Linked DNA regions of Mus musculus. The protein of the gene in region 1 interacts with the protein of each later gene in a biochemical or structural test. Links are inferred from orthologs where the notes say so. Each region holds a gene or a part of one and is shown in the gene's direction. Other genes may lie near its edges.

The links.
Region 2: the proteins of Bcl2 (region 1) and Nr4a1 form a complex in vitro, tested with the Homo sapiens proteins (2 studies listed by BioGRID). The link is inferred for Mus musculus from reciprocal best matches to the Homo sapiens genes BCL2 and NR4A1.
Region 3: the proteins of Bcl2 (region 1) and Fkbp8 form a complex in vitro, tested with the Homo sapiens proteins (4 studies listed by BioGRID, with this or other methods). The link is inferred for Mus musculus from reciprocal best matches to the Homo sapiens genes BCL2 and FKBP8.

Annotation. Positions count from the first base shown.
Region 1 is NC_000067.6:106,711,385-106,715,793, reverse strand, and holds the start of Bcl2 (apoptosis regulator Bcl-2), read left to right. Parts: upstream 1-1,503; 5' UTR 1,504-2,913; coding exon 2,914-3,489; coding exon of another isoform or gene 3,490-3,513; exon of another isoform or gene 3,514-3,629; intron 3,630-4,409. UniProt on the Homo sapiens protein: Suppresses apoptosis in a variety of cell systems including factor-dependent lymphohematopoietic and neural cells. Regulates cell death by controlling the mitochondrial membrane permeability. Appears to function in a feedback loop system with caspases.
Region 2 is NC_000081.6:101,269,771-101,272,638, forward strand, and holds part of Nr4a1 (nuclear receptor subfamily 4 group A member 1), read left to right. Parts: intron 1-312; coding exon of another isoform or gene 313-314; coding exon 315-1,199; intron 1,200-1,965; coding exon 1,966-2,095; intron 2,096-2,382; coding exon 2,383-2,534; intron 2,535-2,868. UniProt on the Homo sapiens protein: Orphan nuclear receptor. Binds the NGFI-B response element (NBRE) 5'-AAAGGTCA-3'. Binds 9-cis-retinoic acid outside of its ligand-binding (NR LBD) domain.
Region 3 is NC_000074.6:70,526,227-70,530,585, forward strand, and holds the start of Fkbp8 (peptidyl-prolyl cis-trans isomerase FKBP8), read left to right. Parts: upstream 1-1,516; 5' UTR 1,517-1,610; exon of another isoform or gene 1,611-3,040; intron 3,041-3,164; 5' UTR 3,165-3,187; coding exon 3,188-3,449; intron 3,450-4,359. UniProt on the Homo sapiens protein: Constitutively inactive PPiase, which becomes active when bound to calmodulin and calcium. Seems to act as a chaperone for BCL2, targets it to the mitochondria and modulates its phosphorylation state.

The DNA of each region.
Region 1 (4,409 bases):
CTGGGTTCATACAAGTGACAGTGGCACTGTGTGTCTGTGGGTACATAGACACATTATCTGTATGGCTGCATCTTCTGAAGCCGTCTCAGGTTGCATGCTGGTCAGAGCTGAGGATATCCAAAACCGTACCTATGCCGTGTTAGGGTCATGGCCTTGAAAGGTGGCAGGTATCACTCCCTGAGGTCCAGCCCCAGCCCAGTGCTGGGAGCGTTAGGAGCAGAGGAAAAACTGTCCCTGAAACTCAAACTTCTGCTGTTCTCTTCTCCTCTCTTCACTGGCCCACTGCGAGTTAGGTCTGGCCTTGGTCACCAAGTTGGGTATGCCTGGATAGAGGCTAAAAGCGCCTGGGTGCTCATGTGGTATCTGCTTGGACACCTCCAAAGTAACTCCGCATACCACTTTGACTATTCTTTAACAAGCCAAGAGCATCAGCGACTGCCATCAGTCTGCCACTGTCTGACTAAGAAGAGATGAGGAAAGACCAGCCTCTGAGGCACATCCCTTGCTGGTTGTGGACATCACATCATGCTCTTCAGAGCAGAGGAGTACTCAGACCTGTTCTAAGTTACACAGCTTGTGGTGTCTGGACAAAAGGGCCTAGAAACAAGCATGCTAACGTTGTTATTCTAAGTATTTTCATTTGTAATTAATATCCTGGAGACTGTGTTGGGAGTTGCCTCTCTTCACCCAAGGGTAGCATATTGGTACTACTCACTACTTAGGAGTCAATATATGTCTCGGTAATCTCTCTGGCTGCTGAGAGCTGATAACATAGTGTTTGGGGGTTCACATGGTTAGCTGAGGGTCTGTTTGATTTTATACACTATATGTGGTTGTATACACTACACTGTTTAAAGGGTCCACATGATTGTAGATACACTGCACTACACACACACACACACACAGAGCGACTGTGTACACACTTTATGTGTGGTTAGAAAGGGTCCATTGGATTGTGCACATTCCATGCACGCGGTTAGAAAGGGTCCATGTGACCTGCACATGCTACATAGAAAAAGTCCATGCGGTCGTGCACACTGTACACGTTGAAAAAGATCCATGCAATTGTGCCCATCCTGTTAGAAAAGATCCAGGTGCCTCGCCACAGCCTGGCCCTGGCTATAGGCACGTCCAGCCAGCAGCCAGCCCCGCAGGCCCGAGGAGGCCCCTCACACGCCCACTGAGCCACTGCCGCCCGGGAGGCCCGCGCCACCCACGGTCCGGGGCCCAGCGTAGCCCGCGGGTGGCCGCCACCCAGGCCAGCGGCCGCGGCCGGGCGCGCGCTCCCCGGGGCGGCCGCGGCGCCTTTAACCCGGGCGGCTGGCGGGCGGCGGGAGGAGGCGGCGGGCGGGCGCTCAGAGGAGGGCTTTCTTTCTTCTTTTTTTTGAATGAACGGTGACGTACGTACAGGAAACCAGGCGCTCCGGCGGAGAATGAAGTAAGAGGCCGGGCCCCCCGCCCCGCGCCCGCCCCCTTCCTCCCCGGCCCGTCCTCCCGCCCCGCGTCCGGGTCCCCGCCGAGCCGCCGCCGCCAACACCGAGGTGCCCAGGCCCTCCCCAGCCGCAGCCGTCACCGTGGAACGGGCTGCGCGGCGCAAGCACGAGGAGGCGGCCGCCAGCGCCGCCCGCAGCGGAGGAGGAGAAAGGGTGCGCAGCCCGGAGGCGGGGTGCGCCGGTGGGGTGCAGCGGAAGAGGGGACCAGGGGGGGACTTCGTAGCAGTCATCCTTTTTAGGAAAAAGAGGGGGGGCAAACCCTCCCCCACCACCTCCTTCTCCCGCAGCGCACCACACACAGTGCGCGGGCTGCTCCTTGGGCACCCGCGGCCCCAGCGCGTCCGTGCCTGCATTTAGCAAGCTGCTTTTTTTCCCGTTTCGGAAAGCGCGTTGGCCCTTCGGAGTTTAATCAGAAGAGGATTCCGGTCCCGGTCCCCCAGCTCCTCCATCGTCCCCTTGGCGTGTCTCTCTGCCCTGGAGGTCTGAAGCGGTCCGGTGGATACGGATCCATGCCTGCGCTCCAGCGTGTGTGTGCAAGTGTAAATTGCCGAGAAGAAGGGAGAATCACAGGACTTCTGCAAATGCTGGACTGAAAAATTGTAATTCATCTGCCGCCGCCGCCGCTGCCTTTTTGCCCCGCTGCGGTGCTCTTGAGATCTCTGGTTGGGATTCCTACGGATTGACATTCTCAGTGAAGCCGGAGTGTGAGGACCCAATCTGGAAACCCTCCTGATTTTTCCTCCACCTAGCCCCCAGACCCCAACTCCCGATTCATTGCAAGTTGTAAAGAAGCTTATACAAGGAGACTTCTGAAGATCGATGGTGTGGTTGCCTTATGTATTTGTTTGGGTTTTACCAAAAAAGGGTAAACTTGACAGAAGATCATGCCGTCCTTAGAAAATACAGTAAGTTCTTTGCACAGGAATTTTGTTTAATATAACTTTCCATGGACGCGTTTGAAATATTTTTTTACTTCAAGTGCATTCAAGCAAATTTCATTTCCAGACAGTTTAATGCATTTTTAAACGTGTAACTTGTAGCGGATATACCTTTCTTACCCTAAATATATAAAGGAAAACACACCTGATTTTAACTTCCTAGGTCGTCCCGCCTCTTCACCTTTCAGCATTGCGGAGGAAGTAGACTGATATTAACAAAGCTTAATAAATAATGTACCTCATGAAATAAAAAGCAGAAAGGAATTTGAATAAAAATTTCCTGCATCTCATGCCAACGGGGAAACACCAGAATCAAGTGTTCGGTGTAACTAAAGACACCCCTTCATCCAAGAATGCAAAGCACATCCAATAAAAGAGCTGGATTATAACTATTCTTTTTTTTTTTTTTTTCTTTCGGGGCCGTGGGGCGGGAGTCGGGACTTGAAGTGCCATTGGTACCTGCAGCTTCTTTTCGGGGAAGGATGGCGCAAGCCGGGAGAACAGGGTATGATAACCGGGAGATCGTGATGAAGTACATACATTATAAGCTGTCACAGAGGGGCTACGAGTGGGATGCTGGAGATGCGGACGCGGCGCCCCTGGGGGCTGCCCCCACCCCTGGCATCTTCTCCTTCCAGCCTGAGAGCAACCCAATGCCCGCTGTGCACCGGGACATGGCTGCCAGGACGTCTCCTCTCAGGCCCCTCGTTGCCACCGCTGGGCCTGCGCTCAGCCCTGTGCCACCTGTGGTCCATCTGACCCTCCGCCGGGCTGGGGATGACTTCTCTCGTCGCTACCGTCGTGACTTCGCAGAGATGTCCAGTCAGCTGCACCTGACGCCCTTCACCGCGAGGGGACGCTTTGCCACGGTGGTGGAGGAACTCTTCAGGGATGGGGTGAACTGGGGGAGGATTGTGGCCTTCTTTGAGTTCGGTGGGGTCATGTGTGTGGAGAGCGTCAACAGGGAGATGTCACCCCTGGTGGACAACATCGCCCTGTGGATGACTGAGTACCTGAACCGGCATCTGCACACCTGGATCCAGGATAACGGAGGCTGGGTAGGTGCATGTCTGGTTGAATGAGTCTGGGCTTTGATCTCAAGGCCAAGATGCGCAGGTTGGGGTGTGAGTGGATTCTGGGTCAAAATGGGCCATTGAGCAGATGAAATAAAGTCGAGTTTGTAGCTTTGCTCCCCTGACCTCTCACTCTCTTCCTCTGGGTACATCACACCCTGCCAACACTGTGTTAACTCCTGCCCGCTGGCTGTGAGGGAGCAAGAATCCAGCATTTTTGATCCAGTAGGATCTGGAGATAATAGCATCCCTCCAGTAACTCTCAGAGTTAGTTCGTCTGAGTAGCTTGCTGCAGATGTTCTGGGTCCTGTGTAAGCACCAGACCTCCAACACTCCCTCTTGACCTATGCATCTTTAGCTCCTCTGGTGGACTAACAAACTTTAAAAGGTCCATCTAGACATGCAGGCTCCACCAGAGGACGCAGGCAAACCTTTTCTAACTCACTTGGGAACATTTTCCCAAAGAAAAACAACACGGCTCCTTTTCCTGGAAATCATAGCTAAGCTTGTAAAAAAAAAAAAAAAAAAAAAAAAAAAAAGGTAAGCTTAGGTAGGTATTCGTGGATGTTTGTGGAATCCAGTCTGTCTATGCCATAGTCCCCAGTGGGCATGGTGGGTGTGCACCCTAAACATGTCCGTCAACGAATATGCGATGATTTAGAAGTCTGCATCCACTGTATGTCTTACTTTTCTCTACCTGCATTCTACATAGTTTTGCGATCTCTACTGCTGAATGGACTTGCATCTAGGGTGCCTATGAAAGGGGTAATGGAGTCCACTTAGCTGTGGCGTCTCCAGCCCTGACAAGTTAAAATGATTCGTATCCACAACACTGGTGAGCATCTATGGGGTGATAGTTTTCTGGGATCTTGGGAGGTTCAGCTTCCATATTTTACCGTGTGATT
Region 2 (2,868 bases), on another chromosome or scaffold:
GAGGAACACAGCTTCCCCCTGTTCCTGGGGGGACATGCTGGACAGCCTTTCCTAGCTCCCCCGGCCCACTGGGGTGTGGCTGGTCGTCGGACTGAGCTCTTTTGGACCTGGTCTCTGCCTGTGAGCTTTGTGACTCGTTGAGATAGCATTTGGGCTGAGGGATTGGGAGTCTTCTGTTCTTTGGTCCTGACACCCGCTTCCTTGTCTAGGCCTGCCACCTGGCTCCCCCCACCCCCCTCCCCGGCCTACCAAGTTTCTTGCTTCCCTTACTGACCCCTCCTCCTCCCTCCTTTGTGTCTCCTCCCTCTCCAGAGATGCCCTGTATTCAAGCTCAATATGGAACACCAGCAACGAGCCCAGGACCGCGTGACCACCTGACCGGTGATCCCCTGGCCCTTGAGTTCGGCAAGCCTACCATGGACCTGGCCAGCCCCGAGACAGCACCTGCCGCACCTGCTACACTGCCCAGCTTCAGCACCTTCATGGACGGGTACACCGGAGAGTTTGACACCTTCCTCTACCAGCTGCCGGGGACGACCCAGCCGTGCTCCTCAGCTTGTTCCTCTGCCTCCTCCACGTCTTCTTCCTCATCCTCGGCCACCTCCCCCGCTTCGGCGTCCTTCAAGTTTGAGGACTTCCAGGTGTACGGCTGCTACCCGGGCACCCTGAGCGGCCCATTAGATGAGACCCTATCCTCCAGCGGCTCTGAGTACTATGGCAGTCCCTGCTCAGCCCCCTCGCCATCTACACCCAACTTCCAGCCGTCCCAGCTTTCTCCCTGGGACGGCTCATTTGGCCACTTCTCCCCGAGCCAGACTTATGAAGGCCTCTGGGCATGGACAGAGCAGTTGCCTAAGGCTTCTTCAGGGCCTCCGCCACCTCCAACCTTCTTCTCCTTCAGTCCTCCCACTGGCCCCAGCCCCAGCCTGGCCCAGAGTTCTCTGAAATTGTTCCCACCACCAGCCACCCACCAGCTTGGGGAGGGGGAGAGCTATTCCATGCCAGCAGCTTTCCCCGGCTTGGCACCCACCTCTCCGAACCGTGACACTTCCGGCATTCTGGACGCACCCGTGACCTCCACCAAGTCCCGGAGCGGGGCTTCAGGTGGCAGCGAGGGCCGCTGTGCAGTCTGTGGTGACAATGCTTCGTGTCAGCACTATGGGGTCCGCACCTGTGAGGGCTGCAAGGGCTTCTTCAAGGTATTTTGTTGGTTCTGGGGGACGATGATATCATGTTGGAGGTGGGGGTGGAGTGGGTCATCCGTTGGGATCTGTAGTGACCTCTCCTGAGGTTTCTTCCCAGCTGGTTCTGTCCTGCAGGACAGGGGACAGGTGTGTGCCATCTTAGAGGCTGGGACTTTTTATTCAGCAGGGCACACATCTCTCTAGGGCTGCAGAAAGCTGGGGAAGGGGGCAGAAGGTGTGTGTGTGTGTGGCCTGCAGTGGTGCTCAGAAACAGAAAACCTAGTGGGCAGCCTCTGGTTCTCCACAGAACTTGTGTTTCTGGCACTGGATGAAAGGACACAGGCAGAGGGTTTGGTTCTTGCTGGGGGTGGACTTGGGAACAGGCTGTGTGTTTGTCCCAGTGCTGGGTGCCTGCTTGGCTTCCCCCACCTCCACCCCCTTAGTCCTCTCCTCTGCGCCAGGAAAAGGGCAGGTGGACACATGCAGACACCTGTTAGAACAGGTGTCTGGACGGCCGTGGGAGTTCCTAGACCCTGGTCTTGGGTTCTGGGATCTTCCCTGTGAGGTTGAAACCTTCTCCAGTATCTCCCAGACTCCTCTCTGCGCTCTGGCCCTCCGTTTCTCCCTCCCCTACATCCAAATGTTAGGAAAATAGCTATGAACAGAGGGCGCTTTTGTCTGCGTCGGCCACAGGATCTGGACGGTCCCCTCCCCTGGGCTCTCCACCCCCCCCCCAAACCCCATGCTCTGACAGCCTGTTCCGTGTCCCCCCTTCCTCCAGCGCACAGTACAGAAAAGCGCCAAGTACATCTGCCTGGCAAACAAGGATTGCCCTGTGGACAAGAGGCGGCGGAACCGCTGCCAGTTCTGCCGCTTCCAGAAGTGCCTGGCTGTGGGCATGGTGAAGGAAGGTGGGTGGCAAGATGGTGCCCTCGGCATAGGCGACCTGATGGGGTGGGACAGCCGGGCTCACCAGGATCTGCACCTAATTCCCACTCCCACTTCTAGATTCCAGCCCCTAAATGCAGGTGTAGCTTCCACCTGCTTTCTGGAAAGGGTGGGGTGAGGAGGGCCTTGTGGGGTCCCCATCATGGTCTGAGTTCTCTGTCTCTGACTTCTCAGAAGTGGGGTGTATAGTGTGCCCTGAAGACCCTCCTTCTCCAGGTCTCCTTTCTCAATACTGCCCGTCTCTCTGCAGTTGTACGGACAGACAGCCTAAAAGGGCGGCGGGGCCGGCTACCTTCAAAACCCAAGCAGCCTCCAGATGCCTCCCCTACCAATCTTCTCACTTCCCTCATCCGGGCACACTTGGACTCCGGGCCTAGCACTGCCAAATTGGACTATTCCAAGGTGAGGTCTTGCCCGCCCATCTGCCCTGCCCTGAGAACATATGCAATGCCTTTGTGCCTGTTAGGAAAGGCTCTCCCTCCAGGGCAACATCAGGAAACAAGCATCCTCTATGTACTGGCTAGTTGGAGAAATGCATTGGGATGGGTGTGGGGTCGGGGAGCCAGTTACAAACAGCTGCCGTAGCCCTGTTTTCCTGTGGGAATTGACAAGCACATGGGCCCAGAATAGGGCTCTTTTGCACGCCTGGATCTGGTGTCCCAGTGCATGAGAGCTCTGTAATGCAGCTTGTGTAGGCTTTGCTGTGGACCCAATGCAGGACACAGCTGTGTGATGC
Region 3 (4,359 bases), on another chromosome or scaffold:
AATCTACAGCTCCAACATGGTAGGACAGAACTCATTTGTGCAAATTATCCTTTGGCATTCACTTGTGTACCAGGGAGGCGCATGTTCATTCATTCATATATATATTCCATATATAATATATAGTTTTCCTTGCATGTAAAGAGATATTGAGGTCTACACTGCTTAACTGAGCTTCTGCCTAGCATGTGCAAAGGTCCCAGATCCAATTTCAAGTACTACAAGAACCAAAGAACAACAACAAAAAACAAACCCCACTGGGTTTCAGATGTAGCCAGGTTCAAAGCCCTCAGAACTGGAACAAGCCCATGGTTTCTTTGATATCAAGTGAAAGAATTACAGGATCATTCTTGAAAGGTGACAGCTCGGGAGAGTAGATAAGGTCCTTCAAATGAGAGGCCCTGCTTTCTCCCTGACACCTTAGCACCTTCTGGCAGAGTCTGCATGGACAGCAGGCAGTTACTGAAAACCTTGTATCTCAGGTGACTGCCCTTCAGCTTTCAGCTACTGTTCTTTTAGACAGTGCAATGTAGCCAAGCCGGGTCGTGAACTTCTGATCCTCAGTGCCCCACTTGTCAAGTACTGAGACAACAGGCAAGCACCCTGTCTGGCTTCCTGACCCCGTCTGTACCTTCAAGGTAACTTAGTAAGCAGTCACACAAGACCCCAGAACCTTGGGGCTGGAGAGATGGATGGCTCAGTGGTTTAGAGCACTGACTGCTCTTCCAGAGGTCCTTAAATTCAATTCCCAGCAACCACATGGTGGCTCACAATCATCTGTAATGGGATCTGATGCCCTCTTCTGGTGTGTCTAAAGACAGTGACAGTGTACTAATAAAATTAAATCAATAATTCTTTAAGACTCCAGAACCTCACAAGCAAGCTAAACACTTTGCTGTCAGCTTGGGCTTCATGGTCAGACCCTGGCTAACTAAAATACAATATAAAACATGAAACAAAAGAGAATGCTATAATAAAATAGTTGAGACGGGTGTGGTAGCACACACCTTTAATCCCAGGAGCAGATAGAGGCAGTATGATCTCCATGAGTTTAAGGCCAGCCTGGTCTGGTAAACGTGCTGCGTCCAGGACAGCCAAGCCTACACAGAGAGGCTTGCTCACCACGCCCCAGGAAAAGAGAGGGGCAGGGGAAGGAGGACATGAAATAAAGTATTAAGTAAAATTATGAAATATTATTGTTTTCCAAAGAGCCCCGAAAATGACCGCGCATGAGCTACAGTGTTTCTTGTTTATTTCTACCTCGTATGTAAGCAGGAGGAAGCCTGCCCCAGCATGAACTCAAATCAGGGCGTGCTGCTATCCTCTCCCACTGTGCGCCCAGTGCGTTCCCATCTCCCACTCCCAACAGCCCCTCCACCTAGAGGCTAGAGCCCCTTTAAGAAACGGCCAGCGGAGCTTACCAGGAAGGAGGTGGTGTCGAGGGCGCGAGACGGACGTGTGCACAAGCCAATAAACACGGCAGACGCGGTGTGAACAGCCAATGGGTGCGCGGGGGCGGGGCTGCGTATCTGAAGCTGTTTCCCGAGGCGCGGCGGCCGCGGCTGGGGGCGGGGAGGGGGCACAGGACCCCGAGCGGGGTCCCCGAGCCGCAGGCACGTGTGACGGGGCGTAGCGAGGAGGCCGAGGCTCCCGGGGCCAAGGCCTCCCGAGGCTGCGGGAGGCTGGGCCTCCCGGGGCGGTAGTGTCGACCGGGCGCGGGGCGGCGTTGGGGTGCGGGGCGCGCGGGGCATTGTGGGGGCTCGGGGCGGGAGGGTCTCCGGTCGGGGCCGGATCCCGGAAGGAGCCCCGCAGGTGAGGGTCGCAGGGCAGGGACGCAGGGCTCCGGGGCTTCCTGGGGCTTAAGGAGAGGGCCTGATAGGACGTAGGGTTCTACAGCTGGGTTGGGGGCCTCCGCAGAGAGGCCTGGGGCCAGCGAGATGGTGCAAGAGTCCATATTGGTGTTCCCACTACTCTTTCGCTTTTATTTAATTTGAGACTGGGTCTCCAGTATTCTAAGCTAGTCTTCAAGTGGGTGTGTAGCTCAGGCTGGCCTTGAACTCCTGGCCTTCCTGTCCGAAGAGCTGGATGACAGGCGTGCCTTGCCACACCTGGTTTACAGGGGTGCTAATTCTAAAGCGTCGTGCTTGCTAGGAGAACGCTCTTCCAACGAATTACAATCCTAGCTTATGCTTTCAATTTCTTGAGTCAGGATTTCATGTAACTCATGAATTCCATGGCCTCGAATACCTGGTCATCCTTCCTCCACCTCCCGATTGCTGGAATGAAAGGCATTTGCTGATACATGGTTTCTGCAGCGTTGGGGTTAGAACCCCGGGTCTTGTGCTTGGTAGACAAGTGCCCTGTTGCCTGAGCTATCTCCCCAGTGCCCTACTACGATTAAAAGCTGGAAGCAGACTTGGTGATAGAGGCAGGTTGGAGCCATCGTCTCTGTTGTTGGGAGATTCAGCAAGAGACATTAAGTTTCTAGCACCAATCCTTTATTGCTGGATCCTTTAGCAGAGAAGGTGGCCAGAGTCAGGAACCTCTACTAAAAGTTCACCTTTTTCAAATGAATAAGTTATAAAACTTATAAAGATTGCTGTCCCAAGGCCTCAGTGACAGTCCCCACTGCCTCAATTACCCCAACACCCTTTTCTTGACATTCAGCTCAATAACTTTCGATCTTGACCCTCTTGTTAATTGGCTTGTTTTCTGACTTTGGCTAAGTGGCTTTGTCTTTTTTTTTTTTTTTTTTTTGGTGGTTTATCGAGACAGGGTTTCTCTGTATAGTCCTGGCTGTCCTGGAACTCACTTTGTAGACCTTGAACTCAGAAATCCACCTGCCTCTGCCTCCTGAGTGCTGGGATTAAAGGCGTGTGCCACCATGCCTGGCTGGGCTTTGTCTTTCTGTGCTTGTTGGATCTTTCCTGTGTAAGCTAGGGTTTCCCTACTTTCTGTGCTTATAAAGATTCCATAATAACAGCTAACCCAGCTGCAGTCTGTGGCTCAGCGTGTGAGGTCTGTGTTCCTTTCAACAAGCCAGGTTGGTAGGATGCCCAGCGAATATACGATGAATGAAAGGGAGCTACATGAGGGATGGCAGTTGGAGGGAGTTGGAGGGGCTGCCTAGATGGGGTTATCACTGTCACACTTGCCTGTCCCCTTAGGGCCAGTTCCTGATCCCAGCAGCATGGCGTCTTGGGCTGAGCCCTCTGAGCCTGCTGCCCTGCGACTTCCTGGGGCCCCACTGCTGGAGGGCTTTGAGGTGCTCGATGGGGTTGATGATGCAGAGGAGGAAGATGACCTAAGTGGGCTGCCACCACTAGAGGACATGGGACAGCCTACAGTGGAGGAGGCTGAGCAGCCTGGAGCCCTGGCTCGGGAGTTCCTGGCAGCCACAGAGCCTGAGCCAGCCCCAGCCCCAGCCCCGGAAGAGTGGCTGGACATTCTGGGTAAGTGTGCTGGGTTGGTTGGAGGCACTTTGACCCAAGGACTTCTGGTCTCTTGAGCTTAGTTTCCCCTTCTGTGTGGGTTGGGAGTGACATTAGGACATTAATGGCTGGTTTTTATTTGTTTATTTTGACATAACCTTACTGTGAAATCCTGGCTGGCCTTGAACTCAAGATCCAGTCCAAGCTGGGTCTGCACTTTGAATTCTCCTGACTCATAGTCTCAGGCTCACTGGTCTCCCAGGCCTGTGCTGTGTGGTTGGCTTCTGAGATGGCTTGATGCCGGTGTATTTGTGAACTTTGTTTGCTGGCTCATACTTGGCATGCACACACAATTCGTAACAGGTTGCTTTTTATCTCCAGTGCTGGTAACAGCAGCTCAGAGAGGCTGAGTCACCTTCCTGGAGCCACACAGCCTTTGCACTGGGTGCCAGCAGCTCTAAGACAACTCCCACTACACATCTTCCCTAAGCAGAGTCACAGCCCGACAGAGCGTCTAATTCTGCTCCCCCTTCTCTAGTTCTACAGCATTTGTTCTCTCTCCTAAAGAGCCTTCTTTGGATAGTGCCAGCAGGAATTTTTCTTCTTCTTGTTTTGGAGTGGTGCTAGGGAGCTAGGAAGTGGAAGCCAGGGCCCCTGTATGCCAGGCAGAGACTCTACCACTGGGGCTCACCCTCAACCTCTCACTTGGGGGTTCTGGGAAGGGTTTTTTTAAATCCTGACCTGCAGGAGCTGGAGAGATGGCTTAGTGTTTGCTCTTCTAGAAGATGTGGGTTCAATCCCCAGCACCCATGGCTGCTCACAACTGTGTGCAATTCCAGTTTGAGAGAATCTGGCGCCCTCTTCGGGGTCTGCCAGCACTGCACTCATGCAGGCAGAGTGCACATAGACATGAAGTTTAAAAAAAAAAAAA